3 linked regions of the Arabidopsis thaliana genome follow. The protein of the gene in region 2 interacts with the protein of the main gene of each other region in a pairwise test. Each region holds a gene or a part of one and is shown on either strand. Other genes may lie near its edges. The genes, in order: RPK2, GPT and PIN6.

Region 1 (3,757 bases), on a different chromosome or scaffold from region 2:
AACAAAGAACATCAATGGAAGGATTCAGTTTCTTCAAGGTCATCTTCACGATCGTCATCGATAACATCTGCTTCTTCGGATGGACACTTTGATATCCGACACTTTCCTCTTCCCAAGCCATCATTGTCTGCTTCTGAGGCACAGAAACTGAGAGAGTCACATCAGGCTTATAATTCATCTGTTAGCTCATATACCAGTTCCTCTTGGTCCTCAAATCACCAGAACCATCTTATTGATTTACCCGGTTACGATCCAACCAGAATTCCATCCTCAGTTTTCTCTAGTAAACCGGGTAATTCGACGGAATGGAGTCTAGCTTCTAATGAATCTTTGTTTAGCATCCACGATGGGAATTTTAGCATTTCAACAGCGTTGAGATTGGCTGAGATACCGAGATTTGAAGAAACGGTTCACGTGATAACCGAAATCAACTCGGTTCCTCTTCCACCTCCGGTTAAGAAACCAAATGAATATGAGAAAGAGACGATTGCAGAGAAGGAACCATACCAGGTGGAGAACTCAAACTCAGATATTGAGGATAATGAAGAAGAAGAGAAGATGAGTGAAGTCGAGAGCGACGACGAACATGAAGAAGAACAAACAGATATGATCGAAGCGGAGGCTTTAGTAGAGAAAGAAGTAATAGAAACTGTGAAGGAGAATAAACCTGAAGACTCGAACAGTATAGTTTCACATTCTCCGAGCATTTCTTGTCGTTCGGACACTAGCAATAACAGCATTGGTTCTTTCGCATTCCCACTGTAAGTCGTTCTCTTCAAAATCTCAATTTATCGATCCATTTTTGATGATTTCTTGAGCAAGAAGAAACTTTAAAACCCTAATTTTACTTTCTTTGGAATTTATGTAACAGATTGCAAAAAGAAGATGCAGTTACCAAAACGCCGTCTATGCAAATCAAAGGAAACGTTTCCCACAAGCGAAGACCCGAGTATCAGCTGCCTCAATCGCGAATGCTACAGCCACAACAACAACTACAACCTTATTCAGAATCTAATATGCTAACTGAGTCTCAGCCGGAACCACAACCACAAAGGAAGGCATCAAAAAAATTCGAGTCTCGAACGCAATCGCTAAAAGCTTCAAGAACCTGCTGGTTCTCTTGCTTCCATTGTCCTTCAAAATGCGGTTCATTCAAGTAGAGGAGACTTTTAGCGTTTGCGTTTGAAGCGATTCCTCTTCTTATGTGTAAATTGTACGGATGAAAATAGTTGTAAACCAAGAGTGATGATCCAAACCGAGTTCTGGTTTTCAGGATTAACACCATATTTTGGTTCGATTAATTTCGGTTACCGGATGTTGTAAACCGGTTGATGGATGATATAACTCTTATGTCATGGTGATGCATACATACAAGGACCACATTTCATTATTACTTTATTTCAATACGTATCATTATTATAAGTAGTAGCTAAAAGACAGATATATTTCACTAAAAGAAAAACAAACCTTTTTTTCTTCTAATTGAAAAGGTTATAAACTCAGTCTTTTTATCCCCATAAATGTGGCTAATGTGTTGTGTACATGACAAAATTATAAATTTATATTTAAGAAAAAACATTTTAATTTGCTTTATCTTGAAGCTTCCTTTAGTTATATCCTTGAAAAGAGGCGATTCTGTCCCTTTTTCACTTTACAATTTCTCAATATTTTTGTTATAAAGAAACACATCTTTGTCACATGCATTTATGTATAGTGGCAGGCGATTTTTCTTTTAGCGTGAGATTATGAAATTTTCCTAATATAATGCATGTCCATATACATATATCTATCTGTAATAAATGTTAGCTTCAAGATCTTAGCATAACATTGGTCGATGAGAGATTGATACGTCTAGGAGAGTTGAAATATTGTTACATTTATTGTGACTCAACATATTTTATTTCATCACTTCGAATAAACAAAAAATTTAAAATAATCTGTCCTCAAATTTAGTGATAAGATAATCTTGCATCTACCTACTGTTATCAATCATGTACCTATTGCGATTTGATGTGGTGAGACTACAATGATCGATGTTAAAAACTTTTAATGTTAACTTCACTACATGATCGATAAATAATCAAAAATTGCTTCTTCCAAGTTAAAATTACACTAAAGAGTTTGTTAGCCAATAGGAAATAAGGAAAGTGGACCCACTCTCTCATTCACAGAACGATTTTTTATTTTTTTCTGCATAAATTAAATTAAAAACATTTTTAAGATCTTTTATCAAAAAAAAAAAAAAAGAGAGAGAGAAGAAAAAAACGCGTCTTCCTCAGTGACAGTGTTGAATTCTCTCATCTCTTTCTCTCTCTGCTTCATCAGTTTCTCTCACTACAAAGCTTCTCATCATCTCCCTAAATTAGGGTTAAAGGGTCGAGCTTGGGATTGTTTCGCACGGTAAAAGGAAGGATCTTTTGCTCGTCAATTGCTATATTAGCAGACCTTGCGAGGTGGGTTTAGGGTTTTGTTGTAAAAACATTTTTGGGGATAAGTTACGAAGATGACTTCTTTGCCTTCTTCAGTGATCAAATGGCGTTTTTTCCGCAGACAGATGCCTTCAGACGTTGTCTTCTCGCTCTGCTTACTCTGTTTCGCCTCCTGTCTCGCCGGAAAAATCACTGTTTTAGCTGATTCGGACAAATCCGTGTTGCTTCGGTTTAAGAAAACGGTATCGGACCCTGGTTCGATTCTAGCTAGCTGGGTCGAAGAGAGTGAAGATTACTGCTCCTGGTTTGGTGTATCTTGCGATTCGAGCTCTCGAGTCATGGCTCTTAACATTAGTGGCTCTGGAAGTTCTGAAATTAGTCGAAATCGTTTCACTTGTGGTGATATTGGTAAGTTTCCGTTGTATGGGTTTGGTGTTCGGAGGGATTGTACCGGAAATCATGGAGCTTTGGCGGGGAATTTGCCTTCTGTAATCATGAGTCTCACAGGACTTAGGGTTTTGTCTCTGCCTTTTAATTCGTTTAGTGGAGAGATTCCTGTAGGAATCTGGGGAATGGAGAAGCTTGAAGTTCTTGATCTGGAAGGGAATTTGATGACGGGGTCATTGCCGGATCAGTTTACTGGGTTACGGAATTTGCGGGTTATGAATTTGGGGTTTAACAGAGTTTCAGGTGAAATCCCTAATTCGCTGCAGAATCTGACAAAGTTGGAGATTTTGAATTTGGGTGGTAATAAGTTGAATGGAACTGTTCCTGGTTTTGTTGGGAGATTCAGAGTGTTGCATTTGCCGTTAAACTGGCTTCAAGGCTCTTTGCCTAAAGATATTGGGGATAGCTGTGGAAAGCTTGAGCATTTAGATTTGTCTGGTAATTTCTTGACTGGGAGGATTCCAGAGAGTTTGGGGAAATGTGCTGGTTTAAGGTCGTTGTTGTTGTATATGAATACGTTGGAGGAGACTATCCCTTTAGAATTTGGGAGTCTTCAGAAGCTTGAGGTTTTGGATGTTTCTAGGAACACTCTTAGTGGTCCATTACCTGTTGAACTTGGAAATTGCTCTTCGTTGTCTGTTCTCGTTCTATCAAATCTGTACAATGTGTATGAAGACATTAATAGTGTAAGAGGGGAAGCTGATCTTCCTCCAGGCGCTGATTTAACCTCGATGACCGAGGATTTCAATTTCTATCAAGGAGGAATCCCGGAGGAAATCACTAGGCTTCCGAAACTAAAGATACTTTGGGTGCCCAGAGCTACGTTAGAAGGTAGATTTCCAGGAGATTGGGGTTCATGTCAAAACTTGGAGATGGTTAAT
Region 2 (3,757 bases):
TTGAGGAAGAAAGAAGATGAGGAGGGTTTCACTGCAGAAGCAAAATTTCAATACAGAAAGATGGCATGGGAATCAGTTGCATGGTCATACAGTAGCTGGATATATGATGCAAATGATCAATCTAAGAGTTGGTAGTTTCCATGTATTAGTGAAGTGCCTGTGCCTCAGAGAAGATAAGTGGGTTTGGAAGTATACCTGAAGTGACCCAGAATACCAACAACTGCCATAGTCATTCCGGCGAAGACTGTGTAAGTGTCTCCAACAAAAACTGAAGAAGGATACCTAACAGCAGAAGATTGCGAGAACTGGTCAGAAATATCATTACTTCCACTCAAAAAAAAAAAGTTTTAAAGAGAAAGCCTGCTAGGGATTTTACCAATTGTAAGCAAGCATTGCCAAGGATGTGGCCATCAGCGGTTGAGTAAGAAATATCGAGAAGGCATGAGCTTGGTGATACTCGGGATCAACAGATGCTCCGATTTGCATAACGTTGTGTATCAGGATCTACAGGTAACTGGGATGCATCATATCTCAACCCAAAAGAAACAAAATGAGAAAAATTCAGAGACATTATGTATGACCATAAGACTTACAGCAGCGGCAATAACAACTGTTTGACCGATTTCAAGGCCATTCAGACCAGCGTGGATGTTAATAGAGTTTGTACAAAAGACAGCAAGTAGCCCCATATATAACTTATATATCCTTCCTGCCACGTTAAAACATCTATTGAGCTAATCATAATCATTTACCTCCTCAAAAGAAAAATACAAGTCAATGTGTACAAATAGGTGGTATCATGTACAAGAACCATTACCTAGATTAAGCACTTCCAAGCCAATATAAGCAACAAGAGGTTTTGGTATAACAATAGTTGTATGACCAGCATAAGCCATCAAAAGTGGAAGGGTAGCAAAAGATGGCAGGACAAGCTTTCTGTTGTTTAAATTGACAACAGTAAACATGTGAATCAAAAACGATAAGCGTGAATTTCATCAAAAAAATATGTAGGAATTAGGACTTACACTCTCCAAGGCACATCAAGGACATCATCTACAAATCCAAGCAAAATCATGAAGCAAATAGATGCTAGTGCTGCATTATACTCCACAAGCCACTGCACAGAATCATCAGCCAGACTCACAAACATTGATAATGAGAATAACCACAGAGATTAATAAAACAAGACGTTAATGCACACTTACATTAGAATCTTCAGTGAAGTTAAAATACTGAAATATTATCGCCACGATCAAAAAGACAATACCAACAACAATACCCAATGACTCTGGCCTGAAAACAAAGAGGATGAAGAAATTTTAATCAAACTAATCTTAATCTTTGGAAAATCAGAGATTGATAAAAACTCACACTTTAATATCTCCTTGAGGCGTGCCTCTTTTGTTGATATCAAAACCAAACATGTTACGTCTCAGAACGTATCTGGCAGTAACAGGAATCATTTTGAGAGTGACGAAAAACCCAACCAAGCTAAGCCCCGCGTTAATTAGAATCGATCGCTTGAGCTCATTATCAACCTTGTAGTGAAAACAGAGAAGGTATAGATAGAGCGAACAGAGAAGAGTAGAGATCACGAAGATCACTCCTAATTTCGGCGGCGCGAGACGAAATTCCTCACCGGAAGCAGAAACCGTCTTTCGGGTCATCTTCTGCTCCGATGGCGCTGAGTTGGGTTCCGACGGGTCCGGTTTGTTGGGAATTGAGATCGATGAAGCTCTCTTACGAGCTGCCATGGCGGATTTGTTGGCTCGTTTCGTTTCCCCGCGCTCTGGATTTTGACTCCAAACTCCGTTCGCCTGAGAAAGGATTCTTCAGAGCAATTCCCGTTCTGCGTCATATAGACCAATAAGGATTTGCCACGTCGCTTCAAATACGACACCGTGTCATCGAAATAGAACTTTATGGATTAATCATAACTTTAATTATTCGTATTAAGTACAAGAATATATCTTGGATTATACTTATAGAACTCTCTTTTTTTAAGAAAAAAATGCATAAATTTTGCTAAGAATTTTGTTGTAGCAACACATCAGCATGACATAAAGCAACTATTAAAAATTAAAACTAAAACTTATATTTAAAAGATTATGTAATAATATAGTTATTAATTAATAGTCATAATTTTTAACAAAGTTTCTTTTAATATAAAAATTGACATAGAAAATTATTTATTTTGAAGATTTTTTTATTGATAAGATGAAGAAGATGATCCATGCGACATTTGCTCACTAGTTACGCTTCCATCATTGGGAGCTTTGAGATGATCATTTTGAAGAAGAACATTCAGATGAAATCTCTGAAGAAGACGTAGTGCTCACAGAAGAAACTTGCACACTACTTTCTTTATCCGTAGAAGTTTGAGAGCTACTAGAATTATCACTATTTTCATCTTTTGTTACACAACTACACCAGTTTCCCATTAATGTCCCTACAAACATAATAAAAAATGTTAAAGTTGCTAAATTATATCTTAGTTTTTTTTGTAAGTGTTTTCAAATTAACTGAATAGTACTTATTGGTCTGTAGGATCAGTTTCGAAAATGCAACAACCCATTGTAATTTAAAATAAGTTTTTGTAAATGTACCTTAGCTTGAATCTCCTCAGAGTTTGTTATGATCTCTAGCTACACAATTCATCTTTTTATAGTGAGAGAAAAATATCTCAAAATTCAATACAAAATCTTTTACTATTAATTACTTTTTTTTTTTACAAGATCGAATCGACCTATTATTAGAACTTGGATGCATATGGATCATGATTTATGTCACAAAAGTTTTGTGATATTTAATCATAATCTAAACATTTTCTATGTCTTCTACTATATTTTGACACTTGTGTGTAAGACATAAATGGTAAGAGGAAATATTATTGATAGTGTTTTTTTTTTTTTGGATTTGGGTCAAAAATATTGTGGGGGGAAGCCACGTGTACAAATAAAAGTAAAATTTAGTTAAGACAATAAATATGAGAGTTAATGTATGTATCTTAGAAACAAAAAAAAAATATTAAGTATGAAATATAAGGAAAGATATAGCAAAAAAAGTAAGAATAAATCAACATCTTATTATATAAAATATGGTTTTCAAAGTTATTAACTCATAAGATTATGCCACGTGTCAAGTCTATCGATCAGATGTTGCCATGTGTAAGAAAATAATTAACCATTTTCTTCTTAAAGAAATAGAAATACTAAAAAATAAATTAATTAACTTTTTTCTTCTTAAAGAAATAGAAAACTAAAAAATAAATCATTATTAACATATACTAATTCATATTTCTATATCTAAAAAATATTACATTTTATTTTTCTTAACCAAAAGAAAAATTAACAAAAAAAAATCTTATTATATAAAGTATGGTTTTCAAAGTTACTAACTCATAAGATTATGCCACGTGTCAAGTCTATCGATCAGATGTTGCCATGTGTAAGAAAATAATTAACTTTTTTTTTCTTAAAGAAATAGAAAACTAAAAAAAGAAATCATTATTAACATATACTAATTCATATTTCTATATCTAAAAAATATTACATTTTATTTTTCTTAACCAAAAGGAAAATTAACAAAAAAAATATATATATATGTTATTGGTCAAATTTTTAATATATATGGTATTAACAAATGTTTTATTATTATGAATTATGTTTTGTTAATTGTTAATAATTTTTAATATTAACTAAGATATAGATTTGATCTTATATATATATATTATTTTGACATGAAATCATTATCAAGT
Region 3 (3,757 bases), on a different chromosome or scaffold from region 2:
TTAAACCATAGTGTTTTCATATGTATATGCGTGTGTATACTTTGGTGGTAACGTAAAGAGACGAGGTGACATAACATTACGATATAGAATGATAAAGACAGCTTCGCTAGTCGTCGAGAAACAAACAAACTTGCTTATCCTGAATTGTTTTAGTCAGATTCATGTGTGTACTAATATATACAGACAATATAGGTTACATGAGGCTTTGATGCCATTACCCATCGGGGAAAATAATCATAACTATAAGTGATTATATATATTATCCTACATAACTCTTGTCTGCACATTTTGGTTAGAAAGTAGGGTTACTTAATATTTATCTTAGGTTAGATATATAGGACGGAATCAATAATCCCAAACTTTTTTGTAGCCTTTCGTTGACAAAGTAAATTATTTATTTTATAAGAAAAAGGTTACGTATGACTTAGTTCTTGCAATTGCCAAAAGGCTAAAGGCTAAAGGCTTTTAAGCTTGAGAGTAAAAGGCTAACACTGTAAGTCTCCACCCATTTCGCCGATATCATTGATCTTAGATTCTATGAGGATCTCCTTTCACTTTCTTTATGTATATATGTACAATTTCTGTATATCTATGTGAATAAATTAAGAACAAGGTAATCATGTCTCTGTGGACCCTTTGCTTAATTGTGACATATGTATTGTTAGTACAAGAAGCTCATTACATTCCTTTTATATGGTCAGAAGTTCCAAACATTTTCTAGTTTCAGATATGTTAGCTTTCCATATTTTAAGAAAATTAGTAAACCTGACTCTACTTCATTATTGATTGTTTTAATTTGTTTTTTGAATAATTGATAACTGGTTCTTTTATATGTTAAAAGACGAATTTCATGATATTGTTCTTGAGCATAGCGAGACGAGGTATATAATGGTGGGAAGATACATCAAAAGAGTTGCATGAGACAAAAACAAAATGGAAATTGTCATGTCATTAATGACTGACCAATTTCCGTAGCTTTAACTAGAAAGCTTCAAATTTGAAGTATATACTTTATCTTCATTTTTCGTGCATGTATTTCTAGTAGATTTTGAATTGAATAGTCATATAGCTTTTCGTCATAAAACACACCAGAAATAAGAAGTTTAATAATCAATAAAAGAAAACAAAAGAGTTAGGGGGATAATTTGGGTGAAAGCCTATTTCGACAAGACACCAAGTGTGATAGTTTTGGATAAACAGATATTTTTTATCCGAGTTTGCTGCAACTGTATGCAAAAAGTGTAAAATACTGCAAAAGTAGATATACACTTGCTAAAAGTGAAAATACTGTAAAAGTAAAAATAAGAGAAAAGAAAACAAAAGAGTTAGGTCAATAATAAGGGTGCAAAGCTCACTTAAGCAAAACACAGAATTTTCAATTTTGGGTAAACAAAGTGTACTTTTTTCTTGAATTACGAAATTTTGTTTATTATATAGATTTCTGAAATAAGAGACTTATGCGTGTACATATTGAGAATGATTATACGGGTTACAAAGCAAATCTATTGCATGAAGTTATTCTAAATATTCTATTAAAATCTTTTTCCCGGTTTGGATTAGATTTTCAATAATTTAATTATGAAGTTGAATTAAAAAAAAAAAAGAGTAACAAATCAACTTATTAATTAATTTTAAAATTGTGATGAGTCTATTTAATGAGAATTTTAGAGATTAAAATAATGATGAGGTCCAGAAAAAGAAAGTGCTTTATATATAGATTTCCAACTATATATGTATAGCAGCAGTATTTTACCAATCTATATAATAATCACTAATCCCTCCCTAATGCAATTTCATAACGAAGCTAACTAAGGGGTAATCTCGTCAACAAGTCTCTATATAACCCAACACACAAACATTTGGCACATAACTTAACCTACATAGTACATACCAAGAAGAAGAAGAGGCAAAGAAAAAGATGATAACGGGAAACGAATTCTACACGGTGATGTGTGCCATGGCACCACTCTACTTCGCCATGTTCGTGGCTTATGGATCGGTAAAGTGGTGCAAGATCTTCACGCCGGCGCAATGTTCCGGAATCAACCGTTTTGTCTCCGTTTTCGCCGTCCCAGTCCTCTCTTTCCACTTCATCTCACAAAACAACCCTTACAAAATGGACACAATGTTCATCCTCGCCGACACTTTGTCCAAAATCTTCGTCTTCGTTTTGCTCTCTCTATGGGCCGTTTTCTTCAAAGCCGGTGGTCTCGATTGGCTCATCACTCTATTCTCAATCGCTACTCTCCCTAACACTCTCGTTATGGGCATACCTTTGCTTCAGGCCATGTATGGAGATTACACTCAAACCCTCATGGTCCAACTCGTTGTTCTTCAATGCATCATTTGGTACGTTATCAAATTACTATCCGTTCTTTATTCATTTACCCTGTGATTGATTAGAAAACCTCATAATAATGGAATTATTTTGTGATTTCACATATTTTTACCACACATTTTTTCATGGATTTTGTAACCAAAACTTAAATGAATTTCGTTACTCTAGGATATAATTCAACCAAATCAAATGTTTTTACTAACCCAAGCTTCTTATTAGTTGAATTATTTAATTATAACGTATGATAATATAAGCTAAGTGTATATACATGTATAGGTATACTCTGCTACTATTCCTCTTTGAACTCCGAGCAGCGAGGTTGCTTATCCGAGCAGAGTTTCCGGGTCAAGCAGCCGGATCAATCGCCAAGATCCAAGTCGACGATGACGTCATTTCCTTAGACGGCATGGATCCGCTCCGTACAGAAACTGAAACCGATGTTAACGGTCGGATCAGGCTCAGGATCCGACGGTCCGTATCATCCGTACCTGATTCTGTTATGTCCTCCTCCTTGTGCTTAACCCCTAGAGCCTCTAATCTTTCTAACGCCGAGATTTTCTCCGTCAACACTCCTAATAACCGTTTCTTCCACGGCGGAGGAGGAAGCGGTACCCTTCAGTTTTATAACGGTAGTAACGAGATCATGTTTTGTAACGGAGATTTAGGCGGGTTCGGATTTACTCGACCCGGATTAGGTGCAAGTCCTAGAAGGCTCTCGGGTTATGCTTCCTCCGATGCTTACTCGTTGCAGCCAACACCACGTGCCTCGAACTTTAACGAGCTTGACGTTAACGGAAACGGTACGCCGGTTTGGATGAAATCTCCTGCCGCCGGGAGAATATACCGGCAATCTTCGCCGAAGATGATGTGGGAGTCTGGGCAAAGACATGCAGCCAAAGATATCAATGGTACGTTTTCTTTGAAAGATGTGTCGTTTTCGTTTTTCGTTAGCACTGACACGACGGCGTTTAGTCAATTTTCTTCTCTTTTCGTGTTTTTCTTTATCATTGGTTCTTTTAAAAGATTTAATGAATAGAAAAACATTGATAGACTACATAAAATGCAGCTTTTCAGAAATAAAAAAACTTAGCATTGTCTCTTTTACTTTCCAAATCCCTAGGAATTAACTAATTAGAAATTCAATCTAATTTTATAAAATTTATAAGTAATAGTCACTAAATCCCACTTATTTTATTTTTTTGTGTGGAAACTTTTGAATTTTGATACTTCATGTTTTTGAGCTTAAGATTCTATAGGACAACATGATGAAGCATGTAAACAAAGCGGACCCCTCATACCACCCACACACTTACTATCATCAATAAAATCACCAAAATGGTCAACATGATGTTGACTTTTTTGTTTCTCATGATGTTTTTGGACTCATCAAATTAATGTCCATTCTAAAGAATTTATTTG

Evidence for each region.
Region 1: the proteins of GPT (region 2) and RPK2 interact in a protein complementation assay, tested with the Arabidopsis thaliana proteins (one large-scale study listed by BioGRID).
Region 3: the proteins of GPT (region 2) and PIN6 interact in a protein complementation assay, tested with the Arabidopsis thaliana proteins (one large-scale study listed by BioGRID).

What each region holds. Positions count from the first base shown.
Region 1 is NC_003074.8:378,223-381,979, forward strand, and holds the start of RPK2 (receptor-like protein kinase 2), read left to right. Parts: upstream 1-2,127; 5' UTR 2,128-2,503; coding exon 2,504-3,757. Other genes in the region: AT3G02125 (pinin-like protein), read left to right, coding at 1-761, 872-1,160.
Region 2 is NC_003071.7:17,299,759-17,303,515, reverse strand, and holds the start of GPT (UDP-glcnac-adolichol phosphate glcnac-1-p-transferase), read right to left. Parts: upstream 1,945-3,757; 5' UTR 1,755-1,944; coding exon 1,372-1,754; intron 1,294-1,371; coding exon 1,206-1,293; intron 1,118-1,205; coding exon 1,026-1,117; intron 937-1,025; coding exon 818-936; intron 710-817; coding exon 594-709; intron 505-593; coding exon 377-504; intron 283-376; coding exon 196-282; intron 32-195; coding exon 1-31.
Region 3 is NC_003070.9:28,968,937-28,972,693, forward strand, and holds the start of PIN6 (Auxin efflux carrier family protein), read left to right. Parts: upstream 1-1,777; 5' UTR 1,778-1,918; coding exon 1,919-2,349; intron 2,350-2,614; coding exon 2,615-3,246; intron 3,247-3,757. UniProt on the Arabidopsis thaliana protein: Component of the intracellular auxin-transport pathway. Regulates auxin transport and auxin homeostasis. Directly involved in the regulation of nectar production. Involved in unfolded protein response (UPR) activation.